Linked DNA regions of Sus scrofa. The protein of the gene in region 3 interacts with the protein of the main gene of each other region in a pairwise test. Links are inferred from orthologs where the notes say so. Each region holds a gene or a part of one and is shown on either strand. Other genes may lie near its edges.

Region 1 (3,655 bases), on a different chromosome or scaffold from region 3:
CGGAGGTGTACGGGCACCCCCCAAGATCGCGGGGCCCTCACTTTTCTTCCCTGTTCGAGGTATCCATGCTGTCATTCATTTTCTGCTTTTGCATTCGTGTTCGAGTAGATGCTAGAAAAAAGAGGAAGAGATGTTAAAAGTGCTGACGGCGCCGGGTCGGTTGAGAAAAGGCTGCCACATATGTTCATGACAAGACTTCTAATTTTGTCTTCGTTATCATATATCCTTATCGGTAAATTTTTTTCCAGGCATGTACCCCCAAAGTATGTATGTATTTATGTATATGTACATAAATCATAAGGCACATGTAGCCCACGTGTTAAAAATCGATGAGATTAAGATAAATATTCTAGCATTTTCTTTATGTACACCAGAAGGTGGTCTTACACACACAGCTGTGCCCAGCTCTGTGGACCGCGGTTCGAGAGCGCGCAGTTCAGTTTGGCACTTGAGCAGAACAAGTCCTGAGCTGGTTCCGAATGAGCTAAGCTAAGCATTCCCTCGTGTGGGGTGAGGCGTTGCAGGTACTGCACACAGATCTGCTCACAGCTCCCTTAATTTCGACATGGACGTTTTAAAAGTACATCATTCATGACAGCACAGACAAAACCAGAATGCTGCTTTTAAATTACTTTAAAATTCTTAACTTGATTTTAGAGGTGGCCAAGAGCTCCTCCTAAAGAAGCACGAAGAACATTCACCCTTGGGAAAGCAAGAAAGCGGTGACGCCACGTCTGCCCTTCCGGCCCTGCCCCTCGGAGCAACGCAGCCCTGTGGGATGATCTTTTCCGAATGCAATTTTTTGAGGAAAGCTGAAGAGCAGCCTGGAGAATTCCTTCGCTTCATGGGTCAAAGCCCCTGCTGCCTCTCCCCGATTTTCCAGCTGCACAAAGGCCCTGAACTTGAGCCTGGCAGAGGGAATTCACCAGCACAGCTAAGTGTGTCACTGGGAAATGTACTGACTGCAACAACTGAACCCTTCTATAAGAAAATATACATGTTTTTACAGCTTTCTGCTCATTTTCAAATGCATATTTGTGGGCTCCAAAATGCTTCCACATGTTTTTAAGGCCTGATCTTGGTTATAAGCTTCACCTCTCTTTTCATGTGCTTGGGGAAAGCTACAACTACTGGAAAGTTAAAACAGGCATATATCAGTTGATGTAAAACCCAAAAAGATTCATTTATAACCAAAACACTTAAACTTGTGGTATATTTAACAGTAATCTTCAAAATAATACACTTAGAAAAAATGGTTTAAAAAACCAAGAGTATTTTAAAAACTACTTCATATTTTAAAGTTAGTATCTACAGAGAGGTACTGAAGGAAATCCCGTTTTTAAAAAGTCACATTTTAATTGATATTGTCCGTATAGATATGTCCTATGACCTAGGAATGATAGTTTTAATTCTTATCATCTCCCCAATATATCTGTCTTCTTTCCAAGACCCGTCTCTGTTTCCTGTTAATGGAGCTGGCACCACATTATCAGGAAAGGTCACACTCGCCCTCGTGGCTACTGCTTGAAGACAGCGCCGGAGCCCCAAGTGCTCAGGGGCACCTTCATCCTTTTCTGAGTGAACCTTCCACCTACTCCGCGTGGGTTCATCTTTACAGTCTCAGAGGAGCTCAGAAGAGAATCCCATGTGCCTTAACATTCCAAACTTCTGTCACTCTCTATAACTGCGAAAATGACCTGGTCAAAATTTTGCTTGTCAAAATTCTGATTTCAGGTAATGGAAAACTTTTGTTTGCGATTAAGTTCTAAAACTTGCAAATTAGGAAAGTTCAGTAATATCAGAAAAAAGGTGATGTTTACATATGGTAGGTTTATAAGGTTTCCCCGACATCCAACACTCTTAGACAAGAGTTCCTCATTATGGTTCTGCCAGCCTAGAACATTTTCTGACCGCAGCCATTCAAGCTGAAGGTGTGGTTTCTCTTCTTAGTCTTCCCACACAGTCGGTTCGAGGAAGGCTGCCTTGTGCCATACATTTCCTCCCCAGATGGCTGTAAATAACACATTCTTGACTGAACTGTATTTTAAATGCATGAACAAATCTGCTAATTGAAGGGGTCGTATAAATTTATTCTTTTGTAGTATGAAAAGGCTTTCTGCAACAATTGTTCCTGTGCATTAGGTGAAATAAGTACTTACTCATTTCTGCCAGTTTCTGTTGAAATTTAGACTCTCCCGGGAGATGTTTACTGCAGATTTAAAACATGAAAAATATTTCATATGTATAAATGGAAAACTTAAATTTCCAATAACTATGGTGCTTTTGATAACTTTATGCCCTTATTTTAATCAGTAGCTTTTAAGTTCAAAGGTTTATAAATCAAGCATCTAAAATATAAATATCACAAATTTCTGGGCCTACATATTTTTCAGTGGTTCTTATAAAACAGTGTTTTTCAAGAGTAAGCATTTTAAAATCTGTTAGTAAAAACAATTTTTTTTTTTAAAGCTGACAAAATGTTACCAATAGTTTTGTAGAAAATGATTGAGGCTTTTTTTTTTCTTTTTTCTTTTTTGGCTGCCCTGAGGCATGTGGAGTTCCTGGGCAAGGGATCAGATCTGAGCTGCAGTTGCAACCCAAGCTGCAGCTGTGGCAATGCTGGATCCTCAACCCACTGTGCCGGGCTGAGGACTGAACCCGCGTCCCAGCGCTGCAGAGACACAGCCCATCCTGTTGTGCCACAGCAGGAACTCCCATCAGATTTTTAACATCTGATATTTTCAGTGAATGTTGGTAGATTTCCGTGGTGCTTTTTGCTTTGGGATGCAGCCATCCTTCCCAAATGAGTTGGCATGAGGGGACCGTGGAAGCCGGCAGCAGGGAACCCCTCAGCTCCCGGGAGACATTCTAAGACCACCGCTACCTTCCATCTGCTTCATCTGCTCCTTCGATGTCAAAGCGCAGCTTTTTCAGAGGTTTAGGAGGGTTGCCTCCTTCAGCACTTCTTTTGAGCACACGGTCGCTATTACACACCATCTGATTTATTTTCTGGAACTTCTCCGAAGTCTACGAATTACAGAATTCTTTATTTTAAATCATTGAATGCCAGCATTTTGTAGTTAGCAACCCCTAATTGTAGTCTGAGGTGGGTCAAAAATCCGGGACAGGTAATATCTGCATTTTAATTTTCTGTTTTATTGGGCCAAATAAGAAATAGGTGCAATTACTCTGATTTTGAGATTTTTCCCTAACTGCCCCCATTAAATACCTCCTGTCTCCTCCCACACAGCAGTTCCTCTTCCACCAACAACTCTGAAGTCCTATTTCCTCATTTTCAGACTTAATTACACGAACAACTAGGTTACTTCTCAGTATCAGTTAAAGCTGGAACAGCTTTAGGAACATTATCTTTGACAGATTCCCTTTAGAGCACAGCAGAGCCAGGGAGGGTGTCACAATCGCATGAGAGGTGTCCAGTGAATAATAATTTTGGACTCACTTCATGGGTACCAGGTGGACAAGTCATGTGGCTTAGATATTGTAAACCATCACTGATACAGTATTTGCTGATATCCTAACTCAAAGTTTTACAAATATTAAGTATCCCCCCAGAAACAAGCATTTGAGTCTATCCAGTATCCCTAGAGACGATGTCTCCCGAGAGGCATCCTGTACCAGCAAAGGAGATTTTGTA
Region 2 (3,655 bases), on a different chromosome or scaffold from region 3:
AGATATGAATACTAAGGACACAAAAGCACTTATGCAGTTTTCCATCTGGGAATGTAAAACTTGCATCTAAGCATAAAGAAACATGAAATAAATCCAAAGCGAGGAACAATCTATTAAAAAGCGGGGGCAGGGTGGTTGTGAACTATACTCCTCAAAAATATCAACGTCATAAAAGATAAAGGCTGTGGAAATGTTCCTCATTAAAGAAGACTGAAGAGACACAGTAAGTGAATGCATTACCTGATACTAGAATGGAATTTTTTTTTTTTTTTAATTTTTAAGGAAAAAAAAAAAAATCCTGGAGTTCCCGTCATGGTGCAGTGGTTAACAAATCCGACTAGGAACCATGAGGTCGCAGTTCGATCCCTGGCCTTGCTCAGTGGGTTAAGGATCTGGCGTTGCTGTGAGCTGTGGTGTGGGTCGCAGATTTGGCTTGGATCTCGAATTGCTGTGGTTCTGGCATAGGCCGGCGGCTACAGCTCTGATTAGACACATAGCCTGGGAACCTCCATATGCCGCAGGAGTGGCTCAAGAAAAGGCAAAAGGCAAAAAAAAAAAAAAATCCTATAAAGAATGTTACTAGGAGCTCCCGTTGTGTCACAGTGGAAACAAACCTGACTAGTATCCATGAAGACAAGGGTTTGATCCCTGGTATCACTCAGTGGCTTAAGGATCTGGTATTGCCATGAGCTGTAATGGAGGTCGCAGCTGCAGCTCAGATCCTAAGTTGCTGTGGTTGTGGCATAGGCTGGCAGCTGCAGCTCTGATTCTACCCCTAGTCTGGGAACTTCCATATGCCATGAGTGAGGCCCTAAAACGCAAAAAAAAAAAAAAAAAAAAAAGTTACTGGGAGTTCTCGCTGTAGGGAGGTGGGTTAATGATCTGGTTTATCTCTGTGGTGTTGCCAGTTTGATCCCTGGCAGGCTGCAGTTGTGGCACAGGTCACAGATGTGGCTTGGACTCGATTCCTGGCCCAGGAAACCACGGGTACAGCAAACAAAGGGGAAGAAAAAGAATATTACTGGGAGTTCCCGTCATTGCTCAGTGGTTAACAAATCCGACTAAGAACCATGAGGTTGCGGGTTCGGTCCCTGGCCTTGCTCAGTGGGTTAAAGATCCAGTGTTGCCGTGAGCTGTGGTGTAGGTTGCAGACGTGGCTCAGATCCCACGTTGTTGTGGCTGTGGTGTAGGCCGACGGCTACAGCTCTGATTAGACCCCTAGCCTGCGAACCTTCATATGCCGCAGGAGCAGCCCTAGAAAAGGCAAAAAGACAAAAAAAAAAAAAAAAAAAAAAAAAAGAATATTATTGGAGGAATTCCCTGGTAGCCCAGTAGTTAAGGATTTGTCTTTGTCACTGCTGTGGCTCAAATTTGATGCCTGGCCCAGAAACTTCCATATACTGCAGATGCAGCAAAAAAAAAAAAAGATACTGGATCAACTAAAAAAACTGGAATAGAGATGGTGGATTATATATTATTACATCAATGTTAACTTTGTTGAAGTTGATAACTGTACTATAGTTATTTAAGGAAACACACGCTGAAATATTTATGGATAAAAGGCTATAGTAGACACTACTTAAATTGAAATAGTTGAGGAAAAATACTATTTAAGAGAAAAAGATCAAATGATTTAGCAAGTAAGGTAAAATGTCAATAAAAGGTGAATCCCGGTCAAGCATATATATATGGATATTCTTTGTAGTTTTATTTTTGCAACTTTTCTGGAAGCTTAAATTATTCTCAAATTTAAAGTATTAATGAAAGAATTACAGATAAAAAAGATTTTTTTTGTCTTTTCTGGGGCCACTCCTGAGGCATATGGAGGTTCCCAGGCTAGGGGTCTAATTGGAGCTGTAGCCGCTGGCCTACACCCAGCCACAGAAATGCCAGATCCAAGCTGCGTCTGCGACCTACACCACAGCTCACAGCAACACCAGATCCTTAACCCACTGAGCAAGGCCAGGGATCCAACCCACAACCTCAGGGTTCCTAGTCGGATTCGTTAACCACTGAGCCACGACGGGAACTCCAAAAAAGATTTAGAAGAGAGGTCTCTGAAGTTAGAATTTGAGGAAGAGGAGTTTTCATTGTGGTGCAGCAGAAACGAATCCTCCTGTGGCATAGGCTGGCATCTGTAACTCCAATTTGACCCCTAGCCTGGGAACCTTCATTAGCCACGGGTCTGGCCCTAAAAAGCAAAATAAATAAATAAATTTGAGGATGAGGAAGAAAGGCCGAGGAAGAATATGAGAACTGGGAAAAGATATCCATATGATAAGCTTAGAATGGAATGAAGTTAAATAATTTAAAATAAAGAGAAATTAAATCTAGGACTTATAAAGCAGTATTTAAAAAGTCAAAGTGCTTTACCTTAATTTAGCTGAACGTAGTATTCTGGTAAGTGAAACACAATTTCCTTCCATGATACCCTTTCCAACCGTGGGAATAATGCTTTTGCGGCATGCAACATATAATGAACATGCCAACCAGTGTATAACTTCTCCCTGACAGGCAAAAGACAAACAGTAAAATGCATATATTATGTTAAAATGCCTGACTTCTAGAACCAAGAGAGATCTTAGAATTATTTGGTCTAATTTTCATCCTGTATTAACAGGCCAGAGAACTGAAGATATTCGCCCAAGATCAAAATGTTTAGTTAACTGCAGTAATGGGTATAAAACTCCTTACACTATGTTCTACATAACACACTAAACTCATTACTAATCGAAAGAAAGATCTCTCACCTATATCCCAAATCTGACATTATTGAAAGAGTTCTCTTAAAATTTCTCAGCATTAGCTTTCTCGATTTTATAACACCAGTCATGGCCTTGATGATGCTGAAGTTCCTTTCTACCATTTTAATCCGTTTGGCAGAAAAAGGAAGAGCAGAAAGTTCGTAAGGGAATTACACATAAAGAAATTAAATACACATAAAAGAACATGTGGCTCAGGGGAAACAAACCCAACTAGTAACCATGAGGATGTGGGTTAGATCCATGGCCTCACTCAGTGAGTTAAGGATCTGGCTTTGCTGCAAGCTGTGATGTAGTTCCAAGATTCAGCTTGGATGGGGTGCTGCTGTGGCTGCAGCTCCGATTCGATCCCTAGCCTGGGAACTTCCATATGCTGTGGGTGCAGCCCTAAAAAGACAAAAAAAAGAAAGAAAAGAAATAGTATGGCTATCTTAGCAGATATTTCAATTTACAATGTTACAAAAAAAAGATGACATTTGGGAATTTAACATCTAATTCTCTGCTTTATTTTTATTTATTTATTTTTTGGTTGTGCCCGAGGCATGTGGAAATTCCTAGGCCAGGGAGTGAACCATGCCACAGCAACAACCCAAGCCTGCTGCAGTGACAACACTGGATCCTCAATTCACTGGTCACAAGAAAACTCCTAATTCTCTGCTTTAGAGTTGAGATATCCAAGCTAGACTTTATGACCTCATTGTTAAGCTTTACATGAAATAAGGATTAAGAACTAGACATAAATCTCATAGCACAACATAATACTGTTATGCAGATTCTTTAAGATCAGACTCTAGGGAGTTCCCTGATGGTTACTGCTTTCACTGCTGTGGCCCAGGTTCAACTCCTGGTCTGGGAACTAAGATCCCACATCGAGCTGCTACATGCTACGGCCA
Region 3 (3,755 bases):
TAAGCAAATACTCCTTAACATACCTTATATAGCCCAATTTTACCTTTTTACAAGTCCTTTAGTAAACAGAATAAATTGCAAGTAGTATTCAGAAGAGTCTGCATGGAGTAGTGAAAAAAATATTAGTCCGGGCTGGTATTAGGAACCTGGGATGTTCTGGTCTCATCTCTACCCTTAGCTTGTATAGTAGTGAGTTAGCGACATTTGGGGGCTTTTTATTCAACTAAAAAATAAGTTGAATTCATTAGTTATTTGTAAAGAGTCCTTGTAGCCCAAAATGTCATGATTCTAAGTGCTTTTGGTAGGAAATACATGAATATATTCAGGAAGGGAAGAGGTTATGTAGTTGTTAAGAAAACTAGCATGGATGACAAAAAGAGTCATTGTATGAAACTTTGTGGCCAGGAATAAAGACAAAGGAATGCATCCTAAACTAGACTTAGGGAATAAAAAGATTTTTAAATGACTAGATCATTTTTTGACCTGGGCCCTCAGATAATACAGGGCTATGTAAAATACACACACAGGCAATCATAGACTTCTAATTTGATTGATTAATCCATATATTCTTAATTTCAATCAAAACATCACAATGTATCAGTATTTTAAAGGAATTAATTTATGGAAAATACATGAAAGTATTTAATAGGACATTCATATATTTGAAACTGGAAATCCTATTAAGGATAGGTAATAGCTGTAGAATCCCTCTCCAAAATGTAGAATCCCTCTCCAAAATGTAGTTAGACTTGAAATTTTACCCACAAATTTTATATGGATATATACATCTAGTTCCTAAATAGCTTTCCTTAAAACCATAAGCATAAAAAATCCTTAATGAATAAATTGGAATCCCAAATTAAGTTTATATTTAAACAGTATTTTAAGCAAGGTTTAAAAATCTTAAATTACTATATATATTTACTCTAAACAGTAAAAGTGTACTCTGTTGACATATATCTACATTTGGCTTGAAAATTAATTGAAAAGAGAAAAACTCAACCAACTAAAATTTTTTATCTATATTCTCCAAAAATTGTCAGAATACAGTTTATGCTGAATCAGCACATTACTTTTGCAGATTCAATATTACATAGCTTTTTAGAAATTTAGCTGATTATCAGAAGTTTTATGCAGAATTGCCTTGGGGTAGGACTAAACAGCATGCAAAAGGTTTCCCTGCAAAAAATGAAATCACATCTGAACATTCATCCTCACTTTAAAAAAATTCTTTATTAGCATTCTAAGGAAACATATAGCCTTTAAGTTTGAACATAATGACAAAGTGAGGGCTCTATAAGGACTATGAAAAGGATGCCTTAGTATTGCTCAGTTCAAGGAAAGTCATGTGATGGCCTGGAGATAGTCCTTGAAAATATTTAGTATAAATCTGTTTTAAAAAGTTATTTTAATTTCCAGATAAATTTCATATGTCAGCTGATACGTTAAGTTGAATGCCCGGAGGATGTGTGCACTCAATTCAATCTAATATTAATAACTAAGGGGGTAATTTGGTATGCCAAAACAAATCTAAAGGGCTTGATAATTTTCATTTTAAATGAAACAGGTTACTAAAATAAATTATTTGGATCAATGAAAGAGAGAGAGAAAAGAATTATTTTAAAATATAAATTAAAGGAAGACCCAAATATTCTTTAACCTAAAAAGGTTTTCAGACCTAATAGGCATGACAAAACCTGTCTTCATTCCTTTCTATTCAGCTCAGCAAGTGCTTTTGAGCTCCAATAGTTAATCAGTTACCAGATTCCACAATCTTTGTTTTTCACACTCCTCATTTCTTGCTGTGAATTGTTCTTCTAAAGTACTTAACGATCACCAGGCAGGCCAGCACTATTTTTTATGCCTTAAAAAGGCCATTATTATTTTATCCACAATTAGATTTGCCATATAAAACATTACCATATAGCAACAGCCTGTAAAATATAATAGTATGTTATCAAAGAAGTAGATGGCTTAAGATGAATCATTATATTAATAGGTAAAATATATTTAGCAAAATTATTCAACCCACTTTTCTTAATGACTACAGCCATGCCCATTTTACAAAGACTTATAGCAGAAGTGTATTATATACCAAATAACCTTTATCTAAACAAATCAATGAACATATGTACAAATATTATAAGACAGTATCTAACCAGCTTTATATAAAAGATAGAATGCAGGTACTACCGTGTTAAAAATAGATTATCTTAAACATCATTTCTTAATTAACCTTCTGAAAGTGCTTAGAAAATTGAGAAAGATAAAAAAATACATTAACTTACCCTTCAATTTACTTAGAAAACTTCTGCTCTTGGTCAAAAGCAGCAGGTGTTTCACTGCTGACTTTCCCTACAGCTATGAACGTACACAGTAAATCAGTGGGAGACACCTCTCTGGACCACGCTAGATTGCTAGACACCACTGCTGTGTGGAAGAGTTCTGCTGCATCTAAGCTATATAAGGTTTGCAATGGATAACCTAATATGCCTTTCATTTAACTGGCTGGGCAGGTTTCTACCGTCTGTGGAACATGGAATCAAACCAGAATATGTTGGCACAGCAGGCCAGTCAGACCGGTTCTTCTGTAGATCCAGAACCCGTCCAACCAGTCTGCATCAAAGGCTAGCCCAACAAGCTGCAGCGGCTCAGCTCTGCTAAGCTTGTACCAGGTAAGTTATCCCCACCTCCCGTCAACTCCCAACAAACTGCTCAGAATGTTGTAGCCTCCAGCAAAATAATTCAGAGTTCCAGTGGGAGGGGTAGATCTGTGTCAGGTACAGCAAGAGTCCATTGTTATAAACCTCTCATTGTAGATAACTTGAGTGTCTACCATCCTCAGGGGCAGGTAATCCATTTTTAAATGTACTCCAGGGCTTTGCAGACTAAAGCCTCTAGAAGATTACAATGAAGAAGAATCCATAATACCTTACCTTTCCACTAGTCCACTTGGTCTTGCTCAGCTTTGAAGTGGCAGGGAGGATGTCGATATTCCCCACAAGGGCAGTAGCCCTGAGAGTTTGAAGGAACCCTTTCTAGAGGGAGGAAAACAAGATGTGGGTTGACCAGACTTTTGCCTGGGTGTGTTATCTTCCTTGTACTCAAATGATCTTCATACCATTCCAGTCTAAAATTGGAAAAACGCCTATTTCTACATACTAGGACAACCTGGAGAGGTTTTACTTTGGATATTCATCAGTTGAACACAAATTCTTGAAAATGACTGTGTGCCACAAACTGTGCTAGGTACAGGATTATAATGGTGAAAAAAGGAAAATTTAGTAAGAGATGGGATCAGTGTCCAAGTTGCCACCTAAGTGTGTCTTCTAATCTTTTGGATGGAGGAAGTGAGCAACACAAGATCACATTTTGACAGAAATTTATTTGTATTAAGGGAGATCATGTGAGATTTTTTTCTTACTCTCATGATATTTATGCATTTAAAAACAGTCTTTCCTATCTACTGATGGAGATTCTCCAGCTTTCCTGTTAAATATAATCTGAAGTGTTGATTAAGAACACAGATTATTGGACCTCACCTCCTGAGATACTGATTCAGTAGGTCTGGGATGTTACCCCAATACTTCAGGTGATCCTGCTGTAGTTGTTACAGGGACCTAGGCTCAGCCTCCATGTTTAGCTTCTTTTCTATTTTGGTACCTAATTAAGTAAACTATATATTAATTTCAAGATGCCATATTTATCTTTGTGTCTTCAGTGTCTAGCGCAGAAACTTAGAAAGTATTTAATAA

What was found.
Region 1: the proteins of RBBP8 (region 3) and RB1 interact in a two-hybrid assay, tested with the Homo sapiens proteins (2 studies listed by BioGRID). The link is inferred for Sus scrofa from reciprocal best matches to the Homo sapiens genes RBBP8 and RB1.
Region 2: the proteins of RBBP8 (region 3) and RBL1 interact in a two-hybrid assay, tested with the Homo sapiens proteins (2 studies listed by BioGRID and IntAct). The link is inferred for Sus scrofa from reciprocal best matches to the Homo sapiens genes RBBP8 and RBL1.

What each region holds. Positions count from the first base shown.
Region 1 is NC_010453.5:19,188,521-19,192,175, forward strand, and holds part of RB1 (retinoblastoma-associated protein), read right to left. Parts: intron 3,028-3,655; coding exon 2,885-3,027; intron 2,210-2,884; coding exon 2,160-2,209; intron 112-2,159; coding exon 38-111; 3' UTR 1-37. UniProt on the Homo sapiens protein: Tumor suppressor that is a key regulator of the G1/S transition of the cell cycle. The hypophosphorylated form binds transcription regulators of the E2F family, preventing transcription of E2F-responsive genes.
Region 2 is NC_010459.5:40,272,619-40,276,273, forward strand, and holds part of RBL1 (retinoblastoma-like protein 1), read right to left. Parts: intron 2,508-3,655; coding exon 2,374-2,507; intron 1-2,373. UniProt on the Homo sapiens protein: Key regulator of entry into cell division. Directly involved in heterochromatin formation by maintaining overall chromatin structure and, in particular, that of constitutive heterochromatin by stabilizing histone methylation.
Region 3 is NC_010448.4:107,922,684-107,926,438, reverse strand, and holds the start of RBBP8 (DNA endonuclease RBBP8), read right to left. Parts: upstream 2,471-3,755; 5' UTR 2,289-2,470; intron 1-2,288. UniProt on the Homo sapiens protein: Endonuclease that cooperates with the MRE11-RAD50-NBN (MRN) complex in DNA-end resection, the first step of double-strand break (DSB) repair through the homologous recombination (HR) pathway.